2 linked regions of the Mus musculus genome follow. The protein of the gene in region 1 interacts with the protein of each later gene in a pairwise test. Links are inferred from orthologs where the notes say so. Each region holds a gene or a part of one and is shown in the gene's direction. Other genes may lie near its edges.

Region 1 (7,173 bases):
GGCCTTGCTGGAGTGGGTGTGGCCTTGCTGGTGTGGGTGTGGCCTTGTTGGAGGAAGTGTGCATTGCCCTGTGTGGAAGACAGTCTTCTCCTGGCTGCCTGAGGAAAACAGTATCCTTCTGGCTGCCTTTGGATCAAGATGCAGAACTTAGCTCCTTCTTTAGAACCATGTTGGCCTGCATGCTGCCATGCTTCTCAGCATGATGCTGGACTGAAGCTCTGAAACTATAAGCCAATCCCAATTAAATGTTTGTTCTTATAATGTTTGCCTTGGTCATGGTGTTTCTTTACAGCAATGGGACCCTAAGTAAGATAATAGTTCAACTGACAGCTGCTGTCAAGGTCTGATACCCAAGTTTAATCCCCAAGACCCATATGGTGGGAAGAGAGAACCAACTCCTCTAAATAGTCCTATATCGCCACATGTGCCCATCCCCAGTAAAAGGAATGTAAATTTTTTTTAGTTTAATTTAATCTTATGCATATGGCTGTTTTACCTGCATGTATGCACCATATCTGTGCCTGGTGCTCACAAAAGCCAGAAGAGGGCATCAGATCCCCTGAAACTGAAGTTATAAACCACTGTCAGTTGCTATGTGGTTGCTGGGACTCGACCCCCAGGTCCTCTAGAAGAACAGTGAGATCTTTAAACTATTGAGACATCTCTCCAATCTCTGTAATGATTATTTTTAAATCTATCATCTTTAAGAAAAGTGATGTGTGTGTGTGTGTGTGTGTGTGTGTGTGTGTAGTGCTATTTATACAAATTATAGTTACAGATTCATATAGCTAACACATTAAGTAGTTAAAAAATTCTTGGGTAACCTTTAAAACCATATTATGAAGCCAATAATGACAGATTTTTCAAAAGTGGTAAGGAATAAGAATTTTTTTTAAAAAAAGAATTTTCTGTGAATTACCTTTTATTTCTTCATAAATATCTACTTCTTATATGCTAGTTATTTTTCTAGAGCTTTATATAATTGTAAACTTGTCACAAAGCATTAAAAAGTTTCAATAATGCAATTAAAAATTGGTGATCTCTGCCTGGAGAGATGGTTCAGTAGTTAAAGGCACTGGCTGTTCCTCCTGGGAACCTGGGTTTGATTCCCAGCACAACTATCTGAAACTCCAGTTCCAGTGTATCTGGCACCCCTTTCTGACCTCTGCAGGAACCAGGCGGTGTGTGGTGCTCATACATAAAATAATAATTAAAAAAAATGACCATCAGCAATCAATCCATATTTAACGTGATGATGCAGCCTCTAATTGTTAAAAAAAAAAAAGTTATTTAGTGGAAATTTTCATATACTCCAAATTTGTGGACGTTGGATGAAGCTAGTACCAAGCTAAGTGTCACACATAGTAGCTCTGATAAAGCAAGCAACCAAATCTAATGTATGATTATAAAGAAAGCTGCTGGGTAGTGGTGACACATGCCCTTAATAGGACCCAGGAGGCACTAGCAGGCGAATCTCTGAGTTTGAGTCTAGCCTGACAGAATGAGTTCAAGGACAGCTACAGAGAGAAAACCTCTTACCAACCAAAAACAAACAAACAATAACAAAAAGAAAGCCATATCTTTGCTTATTTCAACAATTTGCACATGTTGCTATCTGAGCTGACCTGGTGGCTAGATTCAAGCTACCTTAAGGGTAGAGTAAGTGATACAGGCAAGATCTGAGGAAGTCCGAAAGTAAGTTACACGGACAGATTTTTTTTTCTAATTCTCGACCAGACTAGTGTAAGTAAAATAAATGCTAATGAACTGACACACTAGTTAAGTATTCACTGGGCACTTTCTTCTATAGAATGGCAATATTCACGGGTTGAGGGCCTTGAAGAAGTCTCTCTCCTGTGGTATCTCCCAATTGAGTTTCTTCTTTCGTTGCATTCACTAATGCTTTTGCTACCTACATTATTAAATTCTCCCCGAAAAGGATTTGCTGAGCAGGTAATCAAATCTTGTTCCCCCAAAAGGGAACTGTTTAATTTCAATGATCAATGAAATTGACATGGAGAATTTAATTGGAAGGAGATTCTACATCTTGACGAAGCCATCTTTCCAGTGCCCTCAGATACTCAAGCGGTTTTCAGGACTTCCATGCCTACAACTCCCGGGAAGCACAAGATCGAAAACGCGGCACTCTACACTTAAGGAACAAGTCCCAGAATCCCACCGGGACTCCAAATCCCAGAATCCCGCGCAGCAAATACATTCCGGAAGCGTGGCGGGCTAGCTGGGACGAGACTAAATAGAAGAAATAGGGGAAGCAACCTTGAGCGTGGGTGCTCTGTAGGTTGTTTTGTAGAAATCCTTCCATTTAAAGGCGTGGTTTACAATTACTTATATTAATATCCAAGTATATTCCCATTTCAGAGCGTCTGTTAGTAGGCTGGTGGGTTCTGTTCCCTCTGCTAGCCTCTTCTCCCCCCCGTGAGGATGAGAGCGCCGGGGCTCCGCGACTCCTGAGCCCGCCCTGCCGCGGAATGCGGCCTTGGGAGCGAGCGTGGTGGGAGGAGCCGCGGCGGGAGGCGTGTTGTGCCGGGCGGAGGGAGGAGCGCTGGGGCTCGGGCTTGGCGGCGAAGCGACCCCTTGCTCGCTCCGCGCCGCGGGCTAGGCGTGTTGGTCGGCGAGGCGGGCGGCCACGGCTTCCCGACAGGCTCGGGAGGCCGAGACCCTCGCGGCGCCCGGCGCTGCCCCGGCCCCCTCGGCCTCCTGCGGCGAGGCGGGGGAGTGAGGAGATGCCGACCCAGAGGGACAGCAGCACCATGTCCCACACGGTCGCGTGCGGCGGCGGCGGGGACCATTCCCACCAGGTCCGGGTGAAAGCCTACTACCGCGGGTGAGTGTTGGCGGTCAGGGACCCGAGCGATCGTGGGGGCGGCGAGAGGTGCGGTTGGTGGCACCCTGGACGTATGAGTGTAGGTCGCCAGGAGTCGGCGGAGGAGAGTGGGCGCAACCGGAGGGGAGGACAAATCAGCTGACGGAGAAATTTGCAACTGTTTCGGGACTGGGTGGATTGAAGATTTCGAGGGAAGCCTCTGTTCACTCACTACTGTGGGCACGCAAGCCTGGACTGCTTCGTTAGGTGGCTCCTTTCATTGCAGACAGGCCTGAAGCCTCCGTCTTATAAATCAGGTTTACATCTATCCTTCGCCGTGGGAGAGTTCATGAAATAAGTCTGGACTATGGTCAGAGAGCCGCTATAGGTGTTAGAGTTAGTACCAAAGTCGATACTTTTTAATAGGATGTGCACTGGATCCTGGGTGGTCAGAATTAAGGTGCAAATGTGCTGACCCACATTTTGGAAGTTAGGGTGAGCTATCGAAAGGTGAGAAGCCAAGGCTTTAAATTCTAGAAACGATCTTTACCCCACTTGATTACCAAACGTTTAAACTAATGTCTCTGCCAAAAGTAATCCAGTTCTGAGCATAGCCCAAATCATTTTCTATCGTGACTTATCATAAAGTTCTTCCTCTCCTTTGACTTCAGTGTGTGGTTTGAGATAATTTAGGATCTCTGCTGAGGTGAAAGGCCAGCGTGAGCATAAAGACTGGAGAGCAGGGATTAACAGAAGACCTCTCTGCTTGTCTAGGCAGAAATAAATTGCTTTTAAAAGCTTCAAGTGCTACAAGGTTAAAAGAGCTGTGCGTGCTTTCACATTCCTGAGGGGATCAGTGAAGATAGCAGACCTTCCCGGTTCTTTCTTGTTTTCCTTTCAAGAGAACTGAAGCTGCACATGTCTTAATGTGTACATGTAAGGCCTTAGATTTGTGTGTTATCTTCCAGCCTCTGACATTGACTGATTTGGGACTAATTCGTAGAATTTGCAGTAGACAATGTTCTTTTCACTTAAAACAGAGAAAATGAGGTTAAAATAGTCTCCGCAAACGCACTAATTTTTTTTTTTTTTGAAATTTTTAAAAAGTTGGTAGTTGTCATAATAATTGCTTTAGGCATTTTGGTTCATGGTCAGCCATGAACAAACTTTGCAAGATTGGAAGAGCCACAGCCCATCCTTCCGAGGACAAACACACAACTTTCTGATAATTTGAGAGACATTTGTTTTAGAGCAGTGGTTCTCAATGCTGCAACTGTTTAATACTCTTCCTCATGTTGTGGTGACCCCAATTTATTTTGCTACTACCTGTAACTGTAATTTTTCTACTGTTATGAATGTAACATGAATATCTGTGTTTTCGGATGCTCTTAGACCCCTCCCAAAGGGATCTAGATCTACGGATTGAGAAACGTTGCTTTTGAGTAGGTTCCACTTATAAAGTTAGCAGCCTGTGGCGTATTAGGTGTAGAGGAGGAAATGCCGTGGATTCTAAAGAAGCTGTCTAGTTGACAGGTTTACAGACGAGAGTTCAGTGTAAATGCGTGTGCTTGGTAAGAGAGTGCATATTGTGTACATGTGTCAGTAGCACTGTGGCTTTTCACCCTCCAGTCTCCAAAGGCTCTGTTGTGGGTAACTTCTTCTGCAGCTTGCATTTACTGTTTTAAAGGTTGTACTTATGGAGCTGGAGAGAGGGCTCAGCCATGAAGAACACTCGATGCTCTTCCAGTGTATCCAGATTGTGTTTGAAGAACCTGTGTTAGGTGACCCACAATACTGCAATTCTAGTTCCAGGACCCCAATACCCTCTCCTGGCCACTGTGGCACCCCCACCCCACCCCCCATACATATCACATGTGTGTGTGTGTGCATGTGTGTGCGTGCACACAGACACATCAATCTCAAAAAAGTTGCATTTATGTTTCTTTATTTAAATTTATTTTATTTTTATGAGTACACTATAGCTGTCTTCAGACACACCAGAAGAGGGCATTGGATCCCATTACAGATGGTTGTGAGCCACCCATGTGATTGCTGGGAATTGAACTCAAGACCTCTGAAGAGCAGTCAGTGCTCTTCACCACTGAGCCATCTCTCCAGCCCACATTTATGTTTCTTGAGAGATCATCTGTAGATAGTATTTATCGATTACTTCCACTGAAAGATGAACATTATGTTGTATAGTGCCTTCTGTCTCCTGTTTCCTGTGGGTCTTAAATGTTGATTGTTCAGCGATTGATTTTAGTTTTTGACTTTATACTTAGCTTCCAGTGACTTGGTGAAAGACCAAGGAATTAATGCTTTTTCATTTTTCCATATTTTTATTAGTAAATAGGCGCATCATATAAATCATTTCCAAAATTTCCTTGGAAAGAAATCAATACGTCGAACTCTAGAAATTCAGGTATTCCATATGGATTTTCTTTATTTATTGCTCTAATTATTAAGATAAAGAAAATGAGAATATGGATATACGATTTATTTTGTCTAAAAATTTCTCGAGGTACTTTAATATTATCTTTTAAAGTTTAGGAAATTTTACTAAAGATAGGCACACATAACCCCATGTCTTCAGTAGTCAGTGGAACCGTCCTAATACTACATGGTTTTTCAAGCTTCCTCTGAGGACAGCCTCAGCACTCTTAACCGTGCCATTTTCTTTTTTCTGAGTTAGACGTTAAGATTATATGTTTATTAACAGTAATCTAAACTGGTAGTTATATTACAGCCAGCTGCTTATTAGCGTTGATGAGACTAAAATGCGTCACCAGCAAGGAGAGCTAATAAATGTGTTGGTTAACAAGTCCCATACATGACTCCAAAGTAGACTCCCTTTCCCTTGTGCTGGGAAACAGGAGGGTTTGCAATTGGAAAATGTGGTTTGGGGCTGGGGATCTGGTTAGAGGAGTGCTTGCTTAACGCGCACAGGCCAAGGTTTCGTCTCCAGCACTGCAGAAACCTGGTACATGGCGCGCTGTAATCCTCCACTCAGAAGGTGGAGGAAGGAAGAGCAGAAGGGTGAGTTTGGGACCAGCTTGGGCTACATGAGGTTTTTACCTTAGCAACAAAAACAACCTCACAGAGACCATTTTCTTTTCACCCCCTCTTTCTGTAGCTTTCCCCTGCCTCCTCCTAACAGTAGTTCTTCCCAGTGAAGCTTGACTATGAATATTTCCAGTGAATGAACTATCCTCTCCTTTTAAATAGGTTTCATTTTTGGGAAAGTATTTGTCTTCCTATATATAAGAGGCATGTGATTTGACTTTTTTCCAGTTTTTAAAAGCAAGAGACTTTTCTAGTTTGTAAAGGCACTGAGAATCTGGCGTGAGTAGAGTGCCTGTCTCATGGTCTGCGCCCCTTTTTCCCAACATGGGAACTCTGGAGTCAGCGGCCCTTTTCCTTACAGTGCTGTTAGGTTGGAGGAAGAGAAACAGGTTTTTTTGGTTAGTGATAGATTGCCATTGTGTGCTAATCCCTGTATAAAGGTACTTGTGGGATAGAATTTAATGAGGTAATGACTGGGCCGCGCATACCTTGACATTGTATGTGTACAGGACTTTGGCAGAAAGCTTGTAAAAAAGTGAGTTATAAGCCATTGTCGTTGATCAGTGATCGCAGCCCAGAGGATTCCTTCTGTGAACAGTAACTGGTTTGGCAGCACAAGGGATCCTACCCCTGTTTGCAGCCTCTCTGCTGCTGAGCTATGTCCACAGCCCAGGACTGACTCTGCATATTCGGAATGTCGAGTTGTTTGCATTTTTCCTCTTAGAGTGAACAAGCCCTGTCAGGTCTTGTTTTTTAAAGTATTGCAAAATGAGTTGTGTGCTCTCGGTTGTTGGAGCTGAGTGTAGTTCAGCTGGTGCAGTGCTTGCCTAGTGTGCACAAAGCCCTGGGTTCAATCCAAACCCCTCATTAAATCAAGTATGATGGTGCCTGCCTGCAATCCCAGTACAGAGTGGAAGCAGGAGGGTCAGGACTTCTCAAGCTCATCCTTGGCTACATAGTCAGTTAGAGGACAGCACGGACCGTGTAAAACCCTCAGAAAGCTTGACTTTGTAATGCTGAGCTCAACAGCTGGCCAGCAGCACTGAGGCCTGAAAGTGAGGAGTTGGAGGAACTGGGGAGGCCCGAGAGGAGCTCACTGAAAGGCTGAAGCAGCAGCAGAAGGCAGCAGCTGCTTAGAAACTCCCCAGAGGGAGAGGTGCTTCCTGCCTCCCTACCCCTCCCCTCCTTGATGGTCTTTACCTGGTTAGCAGGCCTCAAACTCACTAGTAACCCAGGCTAGCCTTGACCTCTCCTCCATCCTCTGGGCGTGGTGCCTGAGTGCTGAG
Region 2 (7,061 bases), on another chromosome or scaffold:
TGTTACAGAGCTGATTCCATAGGTTGTCACTGATGGAACAGGGGAGCACACAGGCCTTAGCCCCTCACTGTGAGTCACAGGATTCACAGAACTGCCTCACTCCCCTCTGGCTGACCCACTGCCAACTAAGGACCACGTGAAGCTTGGCACCTCCTCACCTTCCCTTTCCCAGAGTCTTGAACCTGCTATCTTCCCATCTCCACTCTGAGACAGGATTTCTCTGTGTAGCCCTGGCTGTCCTGAAACTTGTTCTGTAGACCATGCTGGACTCGAAGTCACAGAGGTCTGCCTGCCTCTGCCTCCTGGGTACTGGGATGTAAGGTGTACAACACCACTGCCAAGTCAGAACCTGCTCTTGGATCTTCTTCCCTACCCACTCCCCAGAACGATATTCATCATTCCATATTTGAAATGTCTGGCTTACAGCTTGTGTTAGTCAAGGCTTGTCTAAAGGACCAGAAGTGATAGAATTAACAAATAAGAACGAACACACACACACACACACACATACACACACACACACACACACACACACACACACACACACACACACACACGCTTGCACAGCTGTCTCACACTAGAGAAGCCAAGAATCCAGTAGCTGCTCAGTCCACAAGGTTGGATGTCTCAGCAGCCCCAATCTGGCACCGAAGGCCTGGAGGATCCCTAGAGAGCTGCTGGTCTTCGGTCTACATTAGAAACCCGAAGAACTTGGCTCTAGTGTCAGCCAAGTATGCTGCAGCAACAGCAGAGATGGGCATGCCAGTAGAGTGGGGCAAGCAGGCAGAAAGCAACGGTTTCTTTTTCCATTACCATCTCATCTATGTTTCCTCCAGAAGCTGTTGTCCACACGTGGGCGGGTCTTTCTGCCTCAGATATCTGACCAAGAGACAGTATTTCTCAAAAAGCCTCAGAAATAAGTGGATGTAGGATTAAGTTCGGCATTTACAACACCCCTCACAGGAGCGCCAAGAGGCTTGTGTTTTGGTTATTCCGATAGAGTCAAGCTGACAACCAGGATTAACCATGTGGGCGCTCAACCCTTACCGCGCTCCTGGGCCTCCCCCACCCACAGAACTGTCCCTTTGGAGTGAACAGTAAAACAGCAGACCTGTGACTTTTCTAAGGCCAAAGGACTGTACTAAGTTAGGAATCGACCCTCCAAATAAGACATCATGAGGTCTGGGATCCCATGCCCTGTACTGAGTAAAACGGGCATGGAAGTACGTACACACACATGCCGTCCCAGCACTATGGAGGTGGGGACAGGAAGATGGGAAGCTGAAGGGCAGCTTCAGTTACCTAGAAAGTTTAAGGCTGGCCTAGGTTATGTAAAGGCCTGTGAGAGAGAAAAGGAGGGAAAGAGAAGGGTAAGGGAGGGGCTCTTGGGGGAAGGGCTCTTTGGGGGAGGGGCTTTGGGAGAGGGGCTCTTTTGGAAGGGCTTTGGGGGAGGAGCTCTTGGAGGAGGGGCTCTGGGGGAGGGGCACTTGGGGGAGGGGCTTTGGGAGAGGGGCTCTTTGGGGAGGGCTTTGGGGGAGGAGTTCTTGGAGGAGGGGCTCTGGGGGAGGGGCTGGGAAAGAAGAGAGAACTGAGGAGCTTGCTCCTGCTGCTTTTTGACCAGGATTTCCCCGTGTCTTCCCGGCTTACATCACCTATGCCTGTCCGGGGTCCTCTGAACAATATGGACTTTCTTCTAAAGGAAGGATTATGACTCTAAACCACAGTGACCACAGGCCCTGGCATTAAACCCTGATCATAACAGAATAAATACACAGCAAAACTGAATAAAAATTAAAATTTAGGGAATGCAATTTGGCAGTCTGTGTTAAAACTTTAGAGGAGGTGTGTTTTATAGCCTAATAATTCCATTTTAATAGTCAATATCTTTTAAAAGCCTCAGAAATAAGTGAAACCTGGGATTCAGCACTTATAATATTAGTATGTATGAAATGCAAACATAGCCAATAAAATAAAACCATTAGAAGTCATACCTTTATTCACATAAGCAATTTAAAGAACATTTTCTAAAATCAAACAACTGATGAAAACATCCATTATAACCCGGGTAGTGACAAAACAGAATGATCACAATTCTGTAATGTATATTACAATGTACACAAAAAGTAAACATGCCGATTACAAAAATGCATGAGACATTTTAAGATAGTTGTTAAAGCCTGTAAGTTTCGTCCTAACTTCTTTACAAACTCCTAAGGAGCCAGGTTCCATCTTGGGTTTTCTCCCCCCTCTTTTTAAGTGCTCTATCTAGTCTTCTATGATATAAGAATCATTTCTTTCTCCAAACCTATCCTATTTTCTATCAACTGCCTTAGAAAAACCCTCGCTGCTCCTCAAACCCTCCTGCAAGTGTTCCTCTCCCTTTAAAAAAAAAACAGTTTTAGTTCTTGTTGTTAATACTACATATTAGTTTTAACTTTAACTATTTCTTTACAATTTGGCATCGGTTTACTATCCTGTCGCTTTCCGTCCTGCCTGAGTTCACTACTTCATGGGCGAGACCACCTACAACCTGGCAACTGAGGCAGGCAAGTGGAGCAGACCTGGAGGCCTTGTCCTCACCATTGCTTCTTAAGAATCTATCGAGAACCCCTTTCCCAGGCGGACCGCTGTGGAGAAGGCAAACCGGAGAGCCCAGAAAATGGCCCAGAGCTTCTGCCTTTGGAAAGGCACCAGGTAGGGGCGTGGCGTGGGCGGGTCCTGATGGGGGCTGGAGGCGGGGCTCTGGGGGCGGGGCTCTGGGGGCGGGACTCGGGGGAGGCGTCCCGTAGCTCCTCCCGCGCGCGGCCCCTGGAGTCCCCGCGGCGCGCCGCCAGCCCCGCTCCGGCCCGCCTCACGCCGTGCAGCCGGGCGCCCTAGCGAGCGCGGGCCCGGCGCCGGGCCCGGGCAGACGTTGGGGGGCGTCTCCGCGGAGACTCTCTCTGAGGCCCCTGAGCGGCGAGGGCGAAGGCGAGGCTGAGTGGGGCCGAAATCATGAACCGGAGTTTTCATAAGTCTCAGACCCTACGCTTCTACGACTGCAGCGCTGTGGAAGTCAAGAGCAAGGTAAGTGCCCGAGGCCCACCGGGGCGGTCTGCACTCGGTCCCTTGGCAAATGAATGGTGCACCCCGCGGAGGGAAACTGGAGCGGTGTGGGAGGCGACCGGCGTCGACAACTTTGGAGCTTAGGCGCTGCGTGCCTCTGCGCGGGGTCCGTGGGATGTGCTCCGGGACCCCGGCGATCCTCCCTGCTCCCTATGCGAGCACAAAGCCCGGCGGCGGAGGGCCATGGGACAGTCAGTGTAGGCTCTGAACCAGCTCCACGAGAGCTGCTCTTTTGTTCCACGAACTAGAGAAGACCGGGGCGCGCCACACGTTGGAGGGGAGGGCTGTGTTTCCGGGGCGATCTTGGAGCCGGAGACTGCTGGGATTCAGGTCGTGGAGGGGTCTTTGGGAGGCCAGAATCAGGAGGGGGGCCTGGCTGCGCCGCAATTTGGCCTTAAGGAGCAGACTGGCGGTCGGCTCCCAGATCAGGGCCCTGGCTCAGCCTCCTGTTTGGCGCTGGGTACCAGACCCGGAGCCCCAGGCGCCCTTTACCCCAAGACCCAGACCCCTTGATCATACCCCTGGCCCAAGTCCAGTCTTCCCGACCCAGCCCTGAGCACCCTTGCTACCCAGACATCTTTCCTAGACGCTCCCCCAGCTTAGATCCCCCGGGCTCTTAGGGTTCAGGGACCGATAAACTCCCATTTGGGCGAGCCGCCCCTAGACAAGACCACAATCCGCTACGGGGGGGCGCGACCAGGGCGCAGACTCAGACCCCCTGGGCGCGCCCGGGCCCCTCCCGCTGCTTGTGCCTAGGCAGAGCGTGCCCGAACTTGCGAGTAGCCGTGCCTGGATAATTGGCTGATAGGATCTGGCGCTTCTCCCCTCTGCGGAGGCAGCTCCTTCGCTGCAAAAGCTTTGGTCTGGGAGGGTCTGCAACGCGGACCCTGCGGGATGGGGAGCTGCTGTTGCTTAGGGTCGGGTGGGAGAAGTCCCTGGAGCCTTTTACTGACTAGGAGATAAGTAGCCTTGTTTCTGTGGTGTTCTGGGTGAAGAAGGGAGAGGTGCTGGAATGGTCCAGATCACCAAGGGTGAGTTCTCCCCAGTGCTTCTTGTGGGCCTAAGGCCTGAGATCCATTCATTCGCCTGGTATCTGGTAAGATAATGCTCTCATTAGACTACTGACCAGCCACCAGAGAGTTCTTTAGTATAAGATTTTCAGGGTCTCTGTAGAGTCCTGAAGATGGGGCAAGTCCCCTCAGTAACAGCAGGGTATCTTTGCAGACCCATTGTGGTAAACTGCAGGGTCTCCACATTTGGGGCAGCTTACTTATAATGAGAGCCTACCCTGTTTCCAGATGGTAATTCTATGACTCCCATCCCCTCTGTTGTCCAGGAGTGCTCCTAAACCCCAAGTTCACGCAGCTGTAAAGTTAGGGCCATCCATGGCCATGGGAGGGTGGGAGGGTTGCCTGCTTCCTCAGCACTGGACTAGGGCAGCCCCTTCATGTCTCTAAACTGTTTTGAAATCGTGGTACATTCACAAGCAGACGTGAGAAAGAATACAGAGACCCGAGGTCACTTTGCTTGGCCTTCTGCAGTGTTAACCTCTGGTGTGAATAGAAGGGAGCTTCATACGGTGCTATGTGCTCACTTGTGTGTGTATACGGGTGTGTAACACTCTTGTGAGCGCCAACACAGCGGACACCATCAACACCCATCACCAGGATTCTTCCTGACCACTCACTGAGTGTGGACTCCGATGAGAAGTGCTAACCACTCAGTTCTGGTGCTCAGTAGCTGTGTGTGACGATGTACATTAACAAATTCAAAATGAGGCCATGGGACAGATCTGGAGGAAGTGCCCTCACTGGGCCTTATCCTGCATTTCTGGGCTGTGGTCCATGCAGGCTTAGGGGAGAATAGGCCACCTACCTTTGTTTCCTGGCATGTTGGCCAAACTGTCTCCTCCAACTCTGCTTAGTGGAGAAATGCCACTTTGCATCTCTGAGGCTTCAAGCTCAGATGCTGTTTGGAGTGGAGACTTAGGAGAGCCCACGCTGACATAGACAGCATTGGGGTGGCTGTCACATGCTCTCCACCCCACAGCATGCCACTCTCATTGCCTGTCCAGAATGTCCCCAGTGGCTCTTCCTTCCACACCCCTCCCGCTCTCCTCCCACTCGGTAGCTGATGTGTATTATTGTGGAGTCCATCTCTCCAGGCAAGGGCTTTTGTCTGTGCTGGAGGCAGAACTTCCTATCAGCAAGGACTTCACACACCTCGAATGTAGAACTAAATATAGTAACTGTGGTTTGCTTAGGAAAATGGCAGCCACAGCTCAGTGCACCCAAGTTTTGTTGGGGATTTGAGGCAACATCTTTTCGTTTCCCTATCTGAGTCGTTTCATCTGTGGGCATCTGCATCATATCCAGAGAAGGTGCTCACCTCCTGAGGTGAGGGGAAGACATGTTGGGAAGTGCAGGGCACCCACCATCCTCAGCATCCAGTGCCACGGCGCAGGGTCTCAGCACTCACGGTGAGTGCTGAATATGGCCACGCGTCTTCTCAGAATTGAGATCATTAATTATCTGCCATGCCAGCCACCTCCTGGGCACACCAGCTGTGTATGCAGAGAACTCAGGTTCTTGGCCTGGTGGCTGCCACCCGTTTCATGCCCCCTGATGATTCCCTAAAATCGTTAACTCTGGCTCATCCTCTCTCCCTCTCCAGAGCCATGTGCACTTTCGATTTCCTGTTTCTGCCTGCCCTTCTCACTCCACCGTGACTTTTGCCTCTCCAACCTGTAGCTGGAAGGGAGACACTGGAGATTTGTAGGAAAGCATTTCAGGCTGAAGGACGAAGGGCAACTGCCTAGGCTGCTTTGAAAGCCAGCAAGAGGGCAAGAAGGCCACTGCCGTCAGGGATGGGGGTGTCTCAGAGAATACAGTTCTCAGGTCCTCCTACCGCAACAGTGTCCCAACTCGAGAGGCAAGTCTGTCATGAGGCCCACTCAGTATTGTTTGAGGCTGAAGGTTTTCTTCATGTGTGTGCCTCCCTAAAGAAACTTGAGGCTGGAAGAGGGTAATTCTGTCTGCAGACAGACTTCTCTCAAATGCTGCCTCATGCCTTCTGACGCCGTGTGCTAGTGTGCATACATCACGTTATTGTTTCTAGAACGAGGATCACAAAGACAATATGTAGTCTACTTTCAATCTGTCAATATGTGACAAATGTTTCTTCATGTCATTAACATTTTTAGGGGACTTTAAAAAAATGACTACGCAGTATTACATCTTCTGTCCAATCATAATATAACCAATATCTTGTTTGAATTTCTGCCTGGTCCCCCCCCCCATACTAAACTGTGCTGTGAACCATATTGAAGTATTTATATGAAGCCAATACAGAACATACAACATAAGGCAAATGAAAGTTACTGGTTGTATTAAATCAACAGGACTCTATGTACTTAAAAGTACTTGGGATAAAAGACATGCACATTTTTAAGGCTTTGAATACGTAATTAGTAAGTGTTTAGGCAGGTAAGATGGCTCTGTGGCAAAGGCAATGGCCGAGCAAGCCTGACCTCCTGAGTTCAAACCCTGGAATCCACATAAAGGTAGACAGAGAGAACTGACTCCACAAGATTGTTCTCTGATCGCCACACACACACACACACACACACACTCCATAGCACGCGCACGCACATACACACACATACACACACATACCATACACATGCAATAACTTTTAAAAATGTTCTGAGAAATTGCTTCTGCTATTTTCTATATGCTGTTTTGTACCCATTCATTCCCCTCCCCCGTTCCTTTTTCTACTGCTTTAATTTGTATACTTCTTGAGTTGTCAGTGAGCTGGAAACTCGAAGGTGCTAGCGTGCTATCTGTCGATCTCTTTTTAGCTCCCCAGTGCTATACTTAATCCTCTTCCCATTCTCTTTGTGTTGGCTTTTGGGAGCTGCGTGTTTACGATGTGTCCCACCAGAGCAGGCAGGACTG

Evidence for each region.
Region 2: the proteins of Prkci (region 1) and Pard6g interact in binary tests that used the Homo sapiens proteins (3 or more experiments, as listed by UniProt). The link is inferred for Mus musculus from reciprocal best matches to the Homo sapiens genes PRKCI and PARD6G.

The regions. Positions count from the first base shown.
Region 1 is NC_000069.6:30,993,241-31,000,413, forward strand, and holds the start of Prkci (protein kinase C iota type), read left to right. Parts: upstream 1-2,530; 5' UTR 2,531-2,744; coding exon 2,745-2,845; intron 2,846-7,173.
Region 2 is NC_000084.6:80,044,080-80,051,140, forward strand, and holds the start of Pard6g (partitioning defective 6 homolog gamma), read left to right. Parts: upstream 1-2,815; 5' UTR 2,816-2,991; coding exon 2,992-3,063; intron 3,064-7,061. UniProt on the Homo sapiens protein: Adapter protein involved in asymmetrical cell division and cell polarization processes. May play a role in the formation of epithelial tight junctions. The PARD6-PARD3 complex links GTP-bound Rho small GTPases to atypical protein kinase C proteins.